2 linked regions of the Caenorhabditis elegans genome follow. The protein of the gene in region 2 interacts with the protein of the main gene of each other region in a pairwise test. Each region holds a gene or a part of one and is shown on either strand. Other genes may lie near its edges.

Region 1 (9,210 bases), on a different chromosome or scaffold from region 2:
AATGGTTCAGCGTAGTGGACGCTTCTGTGGTGGAAGTCATTGCCTTCAGGGATAGATTGATTCGATTAATTATAATTGTATTACCTTCTTTTAATTTAAAAACTTATTTATTAATTTTTGAACGTGTATCAGTTTCTCTTGTATTGTTGAATAAATAATAAGAGTTTCTTTAAAGATGAACTATTTCTGTGAGAAATTTCAAAATTTCGAGATGTATATTATATAGCTAGGATTTGTGAAAATTTTGATGCATCGAAATTATTGAGAAGAATATATTTTGATGGTAAAGAAATTAATGGCAAGAAGTTTTAACCAAATCATTGAAAATCAAAAACAGGATGATCAATAAAGTCAGCAATGCACGATGATGTACTTGTACAAGCTTCCTCAGCTCCTTCTAGCTCAACCATCATCACTGAATTTTCTCCAATTTTCAAGAATTCTGCTGGAATGTACAAAGTCATTTGTGGACCTTTAGTTGGCCAATATCTTCCAAAATTTCTTCCATTCACAATTGCAATTCCTTTTCCCCATCCAGTAGTGTCAAGCCATGTATCAGTTGGGGCATCCACACTAAGAATTCCAATGAAAACTCCCTGTTTTTGATTACTTTTAACATTCTTCCGGTAATTGTTTCTCATTGCTTTTCTGAAGTAGAAGTCTTCTTGAAGAGGAAGCTTGATTCCACATTGAGTCCAAAATTGAATCGCCTGTCCATTCATAAAAACATCCGAAAGAATTCCCTAAAATTCAGACATATAATCCGCAAAACAAAAAAAAATGATCAGCTCTACCTTTCTATCATTAATTGTTTCGAATGTTTTTCTTCCTTGATTTTCGACCAACATAAAAAGCCGATTCTCTTCATTCTCCAGGCAACCTTCAATGATCACTGAGTTTCTGGTCAGGTTGTAATATCTTCGCGTGAGAGTGTCAATGTACTTTCCATTGAGATAAACATGAACAAAATCTCCAAATGAGGGAATTGTCAAGTTTCCACATGAGTTAATTTTCTGTAAACTATGATTTAAAGATACTACTTTATAGCATTTTAAGCATTTTGAAAAAAACCGCTTATACTTTGATCACTTTTTGTCGATAAAAAATTTAGCCAATAAAAATTTAAACCCAAAAATAAATTTCTAACAAACTCACTGCCTGATAAGCTACCAATCCTAATGGATGCTTCAATGTCTCAAAACTGATTGGTTTATCAGTTTCAACACAATCTCCGGGATCTCCCAATGAAGTTAGTGTTTTCAATTTTTCAACGGAATGCACTAGTCTCATCTTGATTTTTCCAAATCTTCCTTTTCTGTAACTTGGAAATATTTTTAAACCGTTTTCTATAAAACTTACGGTGAATTTCCTGGAACATCCAATGGTGGAGTTGGCCAATCAGTCAATCCTTTGATCCATTTTCTTATTTCCAAATATTTGGTTGTTACATCTCCAGATTCACTAATCGGAGCATCATAATCGTAAGAAGTAATGCAAGGAGCCTCAGTTTCTGCACCATTCCAAAATCCAAAATTGGTGCCTCCGTGAATCATATAATAATTGAAACTGGCACCAAGAGAATACATAGTTTGTGATCCATTGATTATTGTTTGTGGAGACGGTAAATTTTGCTTCTTTTGTCCCCAAAGTACCAACCATCCAGGATAATATTCCGAATTTACTAGAGGGCCATTCGGTGCAAATTTTCTTTGTAATTTAAAATTGTTTTCGATTTCTTTAGCATCATCAGTTGGACCAAAGTCTACAGTTGGAAATACTCCTTCCACTGTTCCACATTTTAGCAGAGACTCGGCAGAACCATCAGCTGAATAAATTGAATAATTAGATAAAGTGTTCATTTACTCACTTGTGAATAATAGAACATCATCCCCAACGAGTGATCTTGTAAGATCTCGCAAGAATCGAAGATATTGTTGATCGCATGCATCGTAACTACCGTACTCATTTTCAATTTGAAGCATCAGGACAGGTCCACCGTTTTTACGTAAAAGTGGCTTGACTCTTGGAAGAAGAATTTCAAACCAATTCTCGACTTCGCGGGTAAACCTTAAATTATGTGATTGAACATTTTTGTTTAATTTTAACTAACACTCGATCACTACTTCTTTGCTTTGTCACATTTTTGTTGAGAAGCCACCATGGAAGCCCTCCATTTTCCAATTCTCCACAAATATACGGTCCTAAATTTATTTGTTTTTATTTGAAACTGTGAAGGACTTTCAACATACCGACTCTCAAAATTGTCCATAATCCATATTTATGAAAAGCCATCATGGAAAACTCTGCGAAATCGAGAAGTCCAGAAAAGTCATGACTGCAATTATAAATAGTATACGTTGATTGTTTAAATCTTTTGAAAATGTTCTTACTTTCCTTCTTCAAGCTCGTGCATATTCCATGGAATATAATACTGAATTGCATTAAATCCAAGAGCTCGAACTTTCCCGAGACGTTCGTCCCACCGATCACGAGGAATTCGGAAATAATGAATGGATCCAGAGATGTAACGAAATGGAAGACCATCGAGTAGAAATTGGTTCTTTGATTCGTCAATAAGAAATGAAGGTATATTTCTTAAAATTTGGAATATTACAGATAATGTTAGAAGAAATGTTAGCTGTGTGAAAATGTCTTATATAACTTTGAAGACACATGTTGTGGGTCTTGCCACGCTTTTAAGTTTAAAATTGTCTGCAAGATTTTTTAAATTAATAATTTCGCACTCTAAATCATGTCTAGAGCTACCGAAATTGCAGGTGGAGTATTTCATGTAGAAAACTTTTTGAATCCGTTTCTGAATTGTTAAAATGCCAAATATGACTTTTAAAAAAACATTTGGATTTATAAATTTTTTTTACAAAATATCTCGTGGCGAAAACTACAGTAAGTCTTTAAATGATGATGATCTAAAGAGTTACTGTAGTTTTCGCTACGAAAAAATTTGCGCGTAAAATATGTTGTGCAATACGCATTCTCAGAATTTTGTGTTCCCGTATAATTTGGATGTAGGCAGAAACAATTCTAATGAATATTTATTATAATTGTATTCCAACTTTTAAATTTGAACATCGTATGGTTTCGAACCTGTGTCAATGATTGGAATTTATCAAAAAATCTGCATTTTTGCAAAATTTGACATTCTGCCAAAACTTTGACTGAAAATTTATGATTTAAAAAAAAGATAGTCTGTCCTTACGGAACCCGGATCTTTTGAATATTTACCTATCACCAATTTTTGGAATATTCCAATTGCCGTAACTTGTTCTGACGATACCTTCAGATTGAATGCAAAAATTTAAAAACAGAAATATACAGCTTTTCCATAATTCCATCTGAAATCTATACAAAATTTTAACATTTAATGAAGAAAAGAGTGCATCTGAAAACAATGATAACGAAGAAAACCCAATTGATTCGAATGATAAACAAAAGAAAATTAACAAATATAAACTTTTCTTGAGAACATTGGAGAAACGAGAAAGACAAACAAAACTCAGAATATCTCTTTTCTTGTCTGAATTAGAAAGAAGAGGTGTCACTTTTCCACCCGACATTTCAATCATTTTGTCAACTGTCCTTCGGCCCATCGACTCGTTCGCTGTAAACCACATTTTTTGTAAACAAATGAATCTTATTGGGACGGATCGGATTTATTATAAAACACATGTGTAAGAGAGAATCAGACTGACAAAAGTTCGGAGATTAGAATTACATTTTTTCGAAATTTCAGAAGCAAAATAACATTTAAAGGGATGAACAGAAGAGATCAGAATTTTATTCTTTTAAAAACGTTGGAATCCAGCGTTGTTTCCGAATGGTCCATTTTGGTTTCCTGGTCCTCCGAACGGCATTCCTCTTTGTTGATTGAATCCTTCTGAAAATATAAATTTTTTAAATTCGTCTGCTTTCCGAAATAAAACATACGTTGATGTTGCTGCTGTTGTTGTTGTTGTTGCTTATCGTTCTGACTAGCCAGGGCATCATGGATCAGGTTCATTATCCGATTCTGGAGTTGATCGACAAGAGCGGCGTCATTGATCTGTTCCATTTTTCTCCAGATCATCTTTCCGAAAAGTTCATGAATGTTGCTGTTCTTTCCGAATCCAGGAACTTCCATTGATGGTTCTGGTCCAGCAAATGGTTGAGCGCCCTTAAATTCAAATACGATTATTTTAACATCAAAAAGTTGTTTTCTTACGTTCATGTTATTTCCAATAGCTCCTTGTCCCACATTGTTAGCCGATGGTCCATTGTATCCTGAAAATAATATTGTTGAAAAGAGAAAATACATATTGGCTCTCATTGGTAAGAGAGCAGATCTACTAATAAAACTAAAAAACTACAAGGATTTGAATTTTAGACTCGAAAGTAAATGTTGTTTGGGGACACTACTGCGACAATCATCTTTGATTTTCAAATTTTTTAAAAATAAACTTTAAGTCTCGATGGACTATTTATTTAAAAAGAATTCGATGGAAATATCGAAGTTTCTTTTGGGAATTGTGTTAGGAACAAAATTTAGTATCTCCTCAATTTTTATACTTCATTTTTTATTTTCCTAAAAATATTTTTAGCCACGCGGTCTAGAGCCTTTTTTTGAAGTTCGAAATATCTTTTGAGATGTCAGAGTGTCCCCTTTTAACAACAGTAATTTTTTACGGAGATTATTTGAATCTCTGATAGAAAACAATCAAAAGAAAATAAATGACACTCGTTTCATTATGAAAACATAACTAGACCTGAAGGTGGGGCTCCATTTCTATTGCCGTTGTTCTGCAAACTTCTTGTTCATTACATACATCGAGTGAGGAGTTGTATCATACAACGGAGACAGAGACCGTCATTTACTACTCATGGATTTTGGAACTAGAGACTCTTCCGAAATATATGGTGAATCTAACTAGTAATATTTTAAATCGCAAAAAAAAAGTTTCACTTTACGGTGAATGCAAATTTTGTTTTTCTTTTCAATTTAACAATATAACAAAAAAATTTGAAAGAAAACATCGAGCACTTGCTCTTTTTGGAAATTGAAAAGTAAATTTTTTGAATTAATACATCTGAAATTAACAAAAATGGAGAACTGTTTTTTTTTCATTTGATGATTAGAGCCAAGAAACCGATATGCCTGAAGAATGTGGTATAAAAAGGATCAAAAGATCCGAGAGCATTTTTACTCTTATTGAGCAACACGAATTAAGAATTCATTGAGCCAGTCACCACCGTCATTTACGATTCTTCTCCATTCTCTAAAACATTTCTTTAAAGCCCTAATCAAGAAAACCTGTACGTCGGAAAGAATCTTGAAGTCCTATGTCAAAGCAAGACTCTTTACTGCGACCAGAAATGGACGAATTCGTCAAAATGTTGTGAAAAATTATTAAATTTCTGAATTCAGCAGAAATATCGCCCAATAGTAATATAATCAAATTTTATTTTTAATCATCTTCTGGTAACTTATCTGATCATTTTGATCGCTATATATTTAGGTCTAACTTAGAGAATCCGGTGGGCTGGCTCAAGATTTGAAGAAACTGATATAAAGCGTCCAAGACATTGCGAAGAACAGGAGAAACAAGGATTTTCCTCAAAAATACCTTTCCACTGCCATTACGACGATTTTGTCCGTTGAAGAAGTTCATGTTTCCATTCGGTGGGCCCATGAATCCTGGTCCTCCTGGTCCTCCTGGTCCCATTGGGCCGAAGGGTGGAACCATTTGCATCATTGGAGGCTGGTGATGTTGGCGATTTTGGTTGCGATTTCCTCCATTCTGGTTCTTATTATTTTTGTTGTTTTGCTGAAAAAAAACAATTTAATTTTTTAGAACGAGTGAATCGAAATATAATCGTGAAAACTTGATATTAGTGAAGTTAAATGAGAAAGTGCTTACATTATTTCCTTTTTTCTGGTTGTTGCTGTTGTTTCCAGCTTTCTTGTTGTTATTATTAGTTGTAGGCTGTCTCTTGATTGGCTTTCCATTCGCATCAACTCCCATTCCAGATGAACCCATTTCGACGAAGTTTCTGTAAAAAAAAAAATAATATTTAATGAGTAAAAAGCGACAAAACGAGAAGAAATAAAGAAATAAAGAAATAAATGTAAAAGGAAAGACGTGTGGCTGGTTATTTAATCACGAGACAGCGTTCGTTCAGTGTTCTCCACAGCGGCGATCGATACGGAACGAGTAAAAAGAGTACGCATCAGGTGGAGGGCGCAGATATCGCTGCGAGACCTGCAGTCGGTAGAATTGGTCGCCCCTTTAAATGGAAATTGAAAGGAGACACCTCTTCTCGTTGAGAAATACGAAGTGGGCGATATCGAGATATGGGGAAATAGACATCAAAAAATAGATTTATAATATTGATTTCAAAATGGAACTTTTAATATTTTTTCCCAAAACCCAGAATTTATCGTCGTATCCAATGAAAAATTGCTCTCAACTGTAAAGTTAAAACTCGACCATGCACATATTTCCACTCTAGCGATTCTTAAGACATTATCGAGGTCGCATTTATATTTTAAAATATAATGAATGTTTTCAAAGCGGAAAGTGCTAGAAAAAGCAAAGGATTACTCCAATATGTATCTAAACGATAGAAAAGCTCACTTTTCCGTTCTACCCAATTGGTGGTGTCTCTTTACGAAAAACCATATATATAGAGAGAGTTGTGAGGGGCTTTTCTATGAACGGAAAAAAGTGAACAAACATGTTTAAACAAAGAAAAAACCATGGTGAGGTCAAAATGTAGATAAGGAATGAGACAATGTATATTTGGCTTAAGTGTAGAACTTGATCTCAATAAAAAACACATAAGTCAAACAAAGATAAAGATACTTTTAAAAAAAATATATATATTCGAAAGCAAACAAAAATTAACGGCAAAATTCGGTTAAATACATTTTAAGGTACTCACGTGGTGTCAGAGTGTCCCATTTCGATTTGTTCTACTTAGACCTACTAGAATTGCGTGCGTGAATTTAGACACTATCTCCTCAACTGATTTCGCATGATTAAGAACGTGCTGATGTCCCATTGTTTGTAGATCAAACCGTTATGGGACAATCTAACAGCGAAAATTTATAAAATTATTGTTGTATGTTATTCTTTGGAGGCATATTTTTAATGGAAAAAAGGAAAATATCTAGAAGTTTTTAGTCAACCTTGCACATTCTTTCTGATATTCGACTTGATGAGGTCTTCATCTTACTGATTTGATGATGTTACATAATAAGAACTATTTTTATAAAAATTACATACAATAACATTCAACAATAATTTTATAAATTTTCCAAAAGAAGTAAACACATGTTCTCATGCATTCCGCCATCTTTTTCAAAAACTCTGACTCCGGCTCTGTACCGTGTGAGCACTTGAAATCATACGGAGCAGACAATGAGTGCTAATGTGATATGCAGAGATTTAGAGATATGTTAACAGGACAAGCGAGACAATCCTCGCAACACACCCATCACTTTTTGTTCACTGATAAAGTTTTGTTGTATAGGTGTTCGCACTGCGAATCCCTTTTTAAGATTCAAATTTTATATCTTTATGGCAGTCTATCACTTTCATTATTGCAGAGACAAGTTTTTTTGCCGATTTTTCGATTTTTGTGCGGAATTGTCTAGTAGTGATAAAAATAATATCTCTTACATGTGGATATTAGTACAATTTTTACAGTCGAAAAGTTAGGAAAACTCAGTTTTCATCTCTCAAATTTTGAAAGTCGATCAAACAATTTTTACTAGTCTTATATTATAGCATCGATTCAATTTTTCGTATTTAAACATTCTAAGGTTTTGAGCCTACGGTAATGTTAGGAATTATTTAAAAATGCAACATTTAAAAAATTGGCAATTTACTAAAACTTGGACTGAACATTTTTAATAATCTAAAAACTATTTGAAGTGTTTTATTATGATATTTGGTTATGACTATTATAAGTGTACTTAGTTAGAAGCCCTATACTCCAGGTCCAAGAAAACAAGTAACATGGCAAAAAGTGAAATGTACTCGTTTTTATAGACATTACTTGTCTAAACGCCACAAATTCTTACTAAACTCCCGCACCTCAAAAAAATACAGTTTTAAAACTTTGTCAAAAGTTGTTGTGAAGTTTCTGAAACCTAAGCTGTTGTGAGCAAAATGTGGCTTGAAGTGTGACAAGAAGTCACCAAAGCGCATAGAATACTGGCCCGTTTTGCCGAGTAAATTATACGAATCATTTAGAAAACTCAAAAATTCTGCAATGAAATTGTGGAACAATTGAACGCTACTCATGTTCCGCGAAACTTTGAGCTTATTCAAATGGAGTATCTAAACATTTTTGTAGATCTAGTAAAAACCGTATTACTGTTTTCACGTTTTCACATTTATGCCAATTGTATCGAACATCCATAAAATCAACACCATATCCCTTTTTTCCAATCAACACCGTAATGTACTCGTCGTCATTTCCCCCTCTTCATAAAAAAGTGCATAGCAAAAATGGTGATCTCATTGGAATTGTATAAATAGTTTGCCTTCATGAAAAAATACAAGTTTTTTGTCTCATTCTGCTGCCAATGGAGATTATGATAAGAAAACAGTTTATTATCAGTCTATGTAAGGAGGAACGTTTGTCCTTCTGTTCTCTCCGTTTGTTTTGTTTCCAACAAGTTTCTTTTGGATAAATGAGAGAAAATGAGAGGGAAAGACCCACCCTTCTCCCTGTCACTTTTTTCGTGTTTCCTTATGATAATGTTAAGATGATGGATAGATTTTTCATTGCTATCGACACTTTTTGCCAACTTTTTTCAATTCGTTTTTTATTGCGCGCCATTCTCGAAACCTATCTACAAGTTAAACTTTATAGTCTATTTATTTCCAAGAATACCAAAACAATTGAAAAAAAAAACTATGATACTGCTGAAAAATTAGGTTTCCATTTTTAACTCAAATTTTAAACTGAAAGGTTCCTAAGACTCAGATTCTGACCTATAGTCTGGCCTGACAGCCTAAGAGTTTAACGCAACTAATTTTTTCTGCAAAGGTGCAAATCTAAATGACTGTTTCGTGTCCTGAATGGTTTCACAAATTTTGCTGCTCAGTAATGGAAATATTAACCTTATATGTTTGAAGTAGGAAAGTTAGTGTAGGCATTTTTTCAAAACATGCTCGATTTAAGGTATCAGCTTCACTCTTGGTC
Region 2 (8,606 bases):
ATGGTCCAATGCAATGGCAAAAGCAACTACTCCATTCTTGTACGGTGTTCATGTGGCTCTCTGTATGAAAAATTGCCCATATTGTGAGTAGAATTTAGGTTATCAATATTTAATTTAAATACATTCAGTGGCAAGTCTGACTGCAATCATCCAAGGCCAAGGAGGAACTATGCTGGATAAGTTCCCTGACAAAGATGCCTTTAACAAAGGATCCCATCCCTACCTTCACAAAAATCTTGGACCGATCTTTCTTCTTCACGATGGAACTGTTGGTTTTCCAGATTTAAAATGTTTTCAATTCGTTTCCTGTTTCAGGGCGACTTGGATCTCTACAGATCTGACCCAGACAAAATGTTCACCCTTTTCACCGAGCAACAGTTTATGGATCTGCTGTTCAAACGGGAAATCAATAAAGATACAAATCCGAAGATTATTCCAGTGCTTGTCGACGAAGAAGATTGATAATTGATTGAATGTAGAATGAATATTTAGTTGAAGGAATATTATGTAGAATGGTTTTCAGATATTTGAAATATGGTTGGCATTTTAAATTTGAAATACTCAAGTTGAATATATTAACTAGATTCGAGAAATCGGAATATTGTTCTTCATAATTAAAATGAGACTGTACTCATGTCCTACACAGTAATCACATCTTCAGGCAGCATCCGGGTTTTGTTTTTAATGGATTTCATGACAAATATCTTCTGATTCCTGAATGAAAGGCGCGAAGAGGCAGGTTAAAGGCGCCTCATCACGCCTCGACCTGGTGGAATTTTTATTTCAGATGGTTTGGGAAAATAGAAAACGTTTTCGTAATCTTTATTTCATTTCGGTTTGCTGCTTTCACTCACGAAAGCAAGAATTCTCTATCCTACAAATTGTGATCCGCTATTTTCAAAAAGTGTATCTCGACTCAAATTCAGGTTTTTCCTCATTTTTTCCTCAACGTCTGGCGGAATCGTTTCTCACGCACTGCATCCTCGGCATTAGCGCAATCCCAAAATCTTTTTTCGTGCGCACCGACCAAACAGCTCTTATCTGACATGTTCCATCGAAATAGGCGACTTTTCCGCTGCCCCGCATTCTTCTACCGTTACACACGTACAATTCAATCAATTGCCCAATTCTTGTTTTTCGCCTTTTTTGTCAGATTCAAGCTGCCACATTTTGATTCTTTACTTGATCATCGGTTTTGATTTGACGGTTTTTTGCTGTTTTCCAGTTAAATTATGCACTTATTAGAGAAGATATCTGAATGATGGAACCAAAATCTATATTTTTATTGGGCTTGTTACTATTCCGAGTTGGGAAACTTATGAGAAACGATAAACTCGCATGGAGCGCGGAATACGAAGCAAAGTAATTTCATATTTTTCATTAAAATCAAAACTATAGTAGTTAACTATAAATAATTGTTTTAATTTACAGAAAATTCAAGTTTTATCACAATACATCTTTATTTCTAACTTTACAATCTACGGGTCCTGAGATGGTGAGTTAATACTTTAAACAATGAGTTAATGTTTTTGATACGTAAATTTCAGACAAATTTATGTAAAAAGAGCTGGTGTGACAAGGTTGATGATTATTTTGTAGTCCCACATCATTATGTCAATTGGCAAAAACCAACCGAGCAATGGCTAATTCATCATTTTTCGTGAGTTTTTGACTTAAATGAATTAGCCTGAAGGTTTTTCTAATTTTTTAACTAAAAATTCTAATAAATTTTCCAATGGTGCGCGCAACTGCGCTCCACTGAGCAAGTTCGAAACTCTGTAAGATGTATAATAATGTTTTTTTTTTCAGAAAAATGATTCTTCATACACGACGCCTTCCCCAACAAGCTCAATGGTACATGTTTGCATTTGATAATAATTATTTTTTCGTTGAACGTCTCATAAAAGAACTGTCGAAATTCGATTCGCATCTTCCGATATACACAATTCTCCGGGATTTTCACGCTGATGTAAATTTCAATTACTGTATTATTATGAGGACGCAACAAAATTCCCCTTTCTTTTCAAATAGACGTGGAAACGCGCTCCATGGCGATTTGAAAACGCTCCACCCCCAAACAGTGGGTCTCGTTAGGTATTTGCCGGAAAACCCGCAAATTCAAATGTTTTCAATTAGTTTTGCTGTTTTCGTCTACTTTCAAGCATTTTTCGTCCTTTTTTGGCATATCATAGAATGCTATGTTCCGTTTCTTATGAAATGATATTTTAAATGTGCATGGGAGTTGAAAAGTGAGTTAGGTTTTCTCATGGTACTTTAGAAATTTCGTCATAAAGAGAATTACAAAATAACAAAGAAAGCGAAAAATTGGCGAAACCAGTTGAAAAACTTTGAATAAATGGTTTTTGTGCCCAAATACCTAACGAGACCCATGACTGGGAGGCGGATCGTTTTCAAATGTACGTATGTAGAAGCGCGCTCCACAGATTTTTTGCGTCCACATAATATCAGTAATTCAATATAACACAAAGTTTCAGATTCAACACAAACCAGTGCTGATATTCTCTCGTTCTGCGCTAAACACATTCTATGATCTTGAAGAAGAAAATTGTTCTGAAAATGCTGAAAATGTGGAGGAATGGCTGACAACGTGTATGTCAATTCCACCCATTACTATTTCAGTGGACAGATCCAAAAAGAGCAGGTTGACTTGAATTTCAAATAAAAATTGATTTATCTTATTTAGGATATTTGCCATAAAAAGGCACTTTCAAGTTGATGAAATGAAAACAATGCCAAATGATTATCATGATGATAAAGACTACATTCATAGGCATTCGAGTTCGTTGTTATCCTTTACTAATTTATCGTTGGAAGATCTGAAGCTACTACCAATATTTGTGGAGAAAGTCCAAGGAGGATACAAAAAGAAAGCGGCTTCAAAAATTTTATTTTAGAATCAAATTGTTGTGTTTATAAAACAAATCAAATCAATAAAACCAAATAAAAATTACACCCGAAATTGAATTCTTGAATTCAAGCGTTTTGTTTCAAAAATTTGAGATCAACTGATGAAAAAGGTAAAATACCAGCAAACAGAAGGATGAATAGATATGATTGAAGAGCAAACACATAATCAATTTGACATGAGATTTACAAAGATTCAATTAAGTTAGAGTGATGCGGTCAATGATTCGGCTGTCCATTGATGTGGTCGAAGGTGAATCAGTATTTGAGAAAGCATCTCGAAGTATTTTGATGGCCAATGGTGGTTTTGCAGATTCAAGTTCGTCCCATGCCTGAAATTGGTTGCTTGTTCGACGTAATTTCATTCTCTCATTAACTTACAGTTAACTTCATGCACTCATGTTTATGATTCGAGAAGAAATCCAGAAGCACGTCATAGGTATCATCAAGTCTTAGCTCTGCAGCCATACTAATACGAGTGAGCACATTATCGACAGTCACTTTTGAACCGATGAGCCGAGCCACTTCATCACGCAATGAATTTATCATTAGTCTGATAAAAAACAATACTAGAATGTTTTAATGTAAAAATATCCAACCTATCCATTGCAGATATAAGGTCCTCGGTTAGTTGATCCTCTTCGAGCTTCACAACTCGACCAGCAGCGGACGCGTACATATGGCGAAGCAAGACGTCAAGAGTGCGAGCAGAAATGTCATCAAACTGGAGACGCTTGGACATAAACTCCTTGGTTGAATGATTTCTCAGGAGAACTTTGAAGTATTCAGAACGTGCTGCCAGGATGCACATATGAGTTGGGAATTCACGACCACACGAAGCGACTATAATGAAGTCGCTAAATTCTCCGGTGGATAGAAACTCTGTGAATGCATCTGAAAGTGATTAAACAATGAAAATTTCCAAGCTGTTAAAATCACTAACCATGCGCAGACGATTCGTCGATCTTCAAACATTTTGTATTGGGAGACGATAGGGATCGAGATGTTGAAGAAGCGCTGTGAGTTCTTTGATATGGCTTGAACAGGCTTGAGATCTGTGTCGTACATTCACCGAAAATTGTGAGCTCACATCCAATTGTCAGAATATCGTTAGGAATGTAGACATTCATGGCACTCTGCATTAAAATAAAAAATTGAAGTTGAAAAAAAAACAATCCGACTTACCCTGAGAATGTCTAATGAAAAGAACTTGCTTGCAGTCACGATACCACTACGATTGATCGTAACAAGATTCTTATTGAGATGGCAACTTCTTGGACCGTCTGCTGTTTCGACTGTAAAGCTGACACGGAAACGGAGACGAGGATTAGGGCATTCTGGAAAGAATCTTCGTAAATAACATTTAATAACGAAAAATGAAACACTTAAAGTTCTCTACGTACTATTTATGAGCAGAAAAAGTGAAAGATATCCGGCGGTTTCTTCGTCTTTCCCATTCGGAAATAGTTTCATGACAAACTCATAATCCCCATCTCCAAATTTACTGAAAAATGTAAAACTGATTAATCTTAAACATATTATATTTGCTTACGGTGCCAGCATGAATTCTGCTGGATTGTGAAGCTCTAATTGTACCGTGAAGCGCTCAACGGACCAATAATTGGTAAAGCTTCTCTCATTCATAACCGTACGGCAGCCGGAAACAATGCTTGGACTTTTTCGTTTTTCGGACTTCCCAGACGGTGAGCTGAAAATTAAAAATTTTGGAGAAAAAGAGGTCGTCAGAACTTACCGTGACGGAATCGAAACAGCCGCATTTTCTGGTTGAGCCCCGTTATTGATTTCCATTCTGTAAGCTGATGATGAATTGAAGTTGACTTTGAAACTATAGAATAATGAAAAGTAAATATAATTATTTGATAAACTTTATATTTTAACTGATAATAAGCAACTTCCTATCTAGAAGTAGCTTCTAAGAAAGCCAAAACAAAAAAATTGGATTTTGAAACTGCAGTACGACGCTCCGAGATGACGCAGCGCGTGTAGTTTAGCGTGCCAATCTTTTCGATTTTTCGCGGATAAAACATAAAATTTCCCGGTTTTTTTGCACTAATTTCTTTTTTGATAATTTCTAGAAAATCTCATTATGCCACGAGATGATCCAATCACAGAAGAAGAGCGCCGAGCAAATTCCGCAACCGATTTAATTCGGATGAGACTGGCAAGATTGCAACAAAATATTGTAAGTTTAATTTAGCTAAAAATATAATAATTTTATTTGTTATAATTGCAGGACAAGCCCGCTCCAATTCCAATTAAAAAGGAGACACTGAGAGCGCCAAAAGAACCTTTGGAATTCGTGAGAAATGTCGTTGGTTCTTCAGCTGCTGCCGGAAGTGCTGAATTTCATATTTACAGGTTAGAAAAGTTATACTTTTAATTTGTCTTTTCATATCCAAATTTCAGAAACAACCGACGAAAAGAACAAAATCGACTTGACTACATTGATGCGGTAGCAAAAAAAGAAGAATTGGACGATGCCTACCGTCACAAAGTAGAAAAACTTGAAAAGGAAGAAGAATCAAAAACCGCGAAGAAGAGAGCAAAGCGATTAAGGCAAAAAGCTGCTGCTAAGAAGAGAAAATTGACAAAAAAGAATAATGAATCTGACGAGAGCTCATCAGATGATTCGGATTCAGACTCAGGATCAGGATCTGATAACGAATCTGAAGGAAAACAAAACACAGAAGTCGAAGACAAAGATAAAGTTGAGAAGGAAGAAACGGATGATGAAAAAACTGAAGTTTCTACTTGAAGTTTTTATTACGGAATAACTTATTTGTACATGTTTGATTTAATATAATTGTTTTTCTCAATTGATGTTTTTTTTTGTATCAAAATTCTGAAAAATGGTATATATGTCCATTACATTTTATATTGTCTTTTGTTAATTGTGTTTTCCCTATTTACATATTTCAGTAGCAACTAGTCGAAATGCCGTCCTTCTGGACGCAAATTTCGGGACCACGGCTTTATGGAATTTTTGGACAACCCAATCGACAGGAACCAACACTGGAAAATCTCGGAAACACCGTCATATCGTTTTCTGCAGGTTATATTATTTTATGAAGCATAACCTTTTCCAAACTTGTTTTTAGGAATTTACTACATTGCCAGTTCATTAGCTTTTGGCCCCGTAATATTATGTTACTTGTACAGTCGAGACTGGCTCACACCAGCTGGAATGCTGACAATTCTGAAATATGCCGGATATTTAACACTAATCGGTTATGGAGCAAGAACATTCGGTCGGCTCTTTGACGAAACAAACTCGAGATTTTTAGATATTTGGGAAAACGAAAAAAACAAGGTATCAGTTGAAATCTTTATGTTTATGTATTAATTACGTTTCAGAAGGATGACAACAGTCATGCAGCACTAAAGAAGTACGACTTTGAACTTCTAGACGTGATTCCCGATTTTGTAGCTCGCCCCAATTCGGATTTATGGCATTTAAAACCAGAAGTCGCTGAAGCCGGCGTTGTTACTCGCGGTCTGGCGAGTTGGGCGATTCACGCATTTGGAAGACATTTGATTTATCCCGGATCAATGGCACTTTTGAAATACATGATGAGACCAAATTTGAATGCTGCACGAAAGCTTCTGGTTCAAAATAAGGTGAACGACTTTAAAAACAAAAACAATTTAAGTTCAATAAAAAATTCTGACACGGGCAGGATTCGAACCTGCGTTCGGTTAGAACCGTTTGAGATCAAGTGTCTCATGCCTTAAACCACTCGGCCACCGTGTCAGTGGTTCTGAATTTATGGCAGGCTGTAAACGGGACAGTATAATAGTAGATTATGGTTGTAAATGAATACAGTGTTTTAATCCTTGTGTCAAATTCTGAAAAAAAAACAAAATTTCTTTCCTGAAAGTAGATTTCTAGCTTTTGAAGAAAAAACGGTAAAACATAATTTTGCAACTAATTAATTTGCATTATTTTCAGAATGGGCAGCGTTTGTGGATCAAATCGTCAGAAGGAGACACTCTCGATGCGATGTTTTTGAGAGGCACTAATCAATCACAGGATCTTATAATATGTTTTGAAGGAAATGCCGGATTTTATGAAATTGGAGTAATGAACTCTCCTGCTCAATTGGGATATACGGTAAAACAATCTTTTTCGTAGCCAATTTCATTTATTCGACTTTTCAGACTCTCGGCTTCAATCTTCCGGGCTTTGGAGAAAGTACGGGACTTCCATACGCAGTAAACACTTTAGCAGCTGCAGACGCAGTAATGCAGTACGCTATTCAAGTTCTTGGATATCGCCAGGAGAATATTGTTCTTTTTGGGTGGTCGATTGGCGGGTTCCCAGTTGCTTGGCTCGCGTCCAACTATCCAAGTGAGTATAATTTATGCTATAAAAAATCTTCTAATATATAATTTTTAGATGTAAAAGCAGTTGTATTGGATGCCACATTCGACGACTTACTGCCACTTGCGCTGTTCAGAATGCCGACGGTACAAAATTGAAAAAAAAAATTGAGGTTAATGTTTCCATTTCAGTTCTTCTCTACCATTGTGGAGCATGCGATCAGAAACCATATGAATCTTCAAATCGATAAATTGGTATGTTAAGAAACCTTTAAAACTGCTCGAAAGACTACTTTAATTTCCTAATTTTCAGCTCGCTCGTTACAAGGGACCAATCCGTCTGATTCGACGCCTCCAAGAAGAGATTCTGACCACTGCAGTTGATGATCAACCCGAGAATGTTCGACGAGCAACAAATCGAATCAATTGGCTACTCAAATCGATCATCAAAGACAGACATCCCGAGTTGATTCAAAATTTGGAACCACAAGTAGATCGTTGGCTCGACATGACTCCAACCGAACGGCTCATGCATTCGGGAGTCAGCTTGCGCGAAGAATCAACACAAAGAAAACGTCTTTTTGATGCATGTAATCACTATTTGATTGATTTCGACGCAAATCACGTTACTCCTCTCGATCCACAGTAAGTTTCTCATTTCCAGTAAATCTTTTCATCGCAAAGTTTCAGATACTTCAACATTCCGCATGGCCGTGATACCTTCTAGGCAACCATCTCAATTATCAACTCAATTGTTCACCTTTCTCTTTGTCCCAACTCCCCAATCGCTTGTACATTTAAATAATAATTGTATTTAGAATAGTCGATAATATTGGGTGCAATATTTCTTTATTTATCGAATGTCAAAAGAAAGCTAGTATTTATTTGTATTTATTTCATTGTTTTTTAAATAGTCAAGCAATGAGTCATGCGCTCTTCGATACCTTTTGTTATAGTTTTAATGTTCAGAAAATTCAATATTAATAACTCGATATTCAGACTGACATGTCGTTCATCACAGCATTTCGGGAACGAGTTTTCATTGCATCTGGAGACTTGATCCGTACGTTCAGAATCAGCGAAGAAACTGAATTGAAGGTGTTTCATATTTTTAAACTTGAAATTTCAAAATTTTATTTCAGAACTTCATTAGTTGGTCAAAAATCAACCCGGAACGGATTCAAAAGCCTTCCTTCGATATTGAAAAAGAATTGAAAGCTGTTGAGAAAAGAGTGGTCAGTCCTAAAATAATCGAAACGTTTGTTCTGATAGTATTTTTTTGTAGATTCTGTGTCTCGCTCATTCCAATGTCTTGACCACTCATGGCCGGCGACTTGTTG

What was found.
Region 1: the proteins of bath-41 (region 2) and pqn-70 interact in a two-hybrid assay, tested with the Caenorhabditis elegans proteins (one study listed by BioGRID).

The regions. Positions count from the first base shown.
Region 1 is NC_003283.11:11,222,659-11,231,868, forward strand, and holds pqn-70 (Prion-like-(Q/N-rich)-domain-bearing protein), read right to left. Parts: upstream 6,046-9,210; 5' UTR 6,033-6,045; coding exon 5,913-6,032; intron 5,820-5,912; coding exon 5,619-5,819; exon of another isoform or gene 4,795-5,618; coding exon 4,761-4,794; exon of another isoform or gene 4,279-4,760; coding exon 4,220-4,278; intron 4,172-4,219; coding exon 3,946-4,171; intron 3,896-3,945; coding exon 3,804-3,895; 3' UTR 3,658-3,803; downstream 1-3,657. Other genes in the region: T19B10.2 (DUF19 domain-containing protein), read left to right, coding at 1-55; bgal-1 (Beta-galactosidase), read right to left, coding at 318-743, 795-1,013, 1,156-1,315, 1,360-1,825, 1,868-2,067, 2,111-2,201, 2,250-2,335, 2,391-2,594 and 1 more.
Region 2 is NC_003281.10:6,717,524-6,726,129, forward strand, and holds bath-41 (BTB and MATH domain-containing protein 41), read right to left. Parts: upstream 4,736-8,606; 5' UTR 4,735-4,735; coding exon 4,679-4,734; intron 4,634-4,678; coding exon 4,478-4,633; intron 4,430-4,477; coding exon 4,329-4,429; intron 4,263-4,328; coding exon 4,111-4,262; intron 4,062-4,110; coding exon 3,869-4,061; intron 3,820-3,868; coding exon 3,525-3,819; intron 3,479-3,524; coding exon 3,307-3,478; intron 3,258-3,306; coding exon 3,126-3,257; 3' UTR 2,916-3,125; downstream 1-2,915. Other genes in the region: Ankyrin repeat-containing protein F37A4.4, read left to right, coding at 1-83, 129-268, 316-462; bus-22 (uncharacterized protein), read left to right, coding at 1,259-1,362, 1,432-1,495, 1,548-1,660, 1,810-1,969, 2,496-2,662, 2,705-2,915; F37A4.2 (PRKRIP1 family protein), read left to right, coding at 5,033-5,128, 5,180-5,304, 5,353-5,701; F37A4.1 (alpha/beta hydrolase), read left to right, coding at 5,881-5,998, 6,045-6,256, 6,301-6,564, 6,896-7,057, 7,105-7,294, 7,343-7,413, 7,459-7,521, 7,580-7,911 and 1 more; wdr-4 (tRNA (guanine-N(7)-)-methyltransferase non-catalytic subunit), read left to right, coding at 8,272-8,364, 8,409-8,501, 8,552-8,606. UniProt on the Caenorhabditis elegans protein: Probable substrate-specific adapter of an E3 ubiquitin-protein ligase complex which mediates the ubiquitination and subsequent proteasomal degradation of target proteins.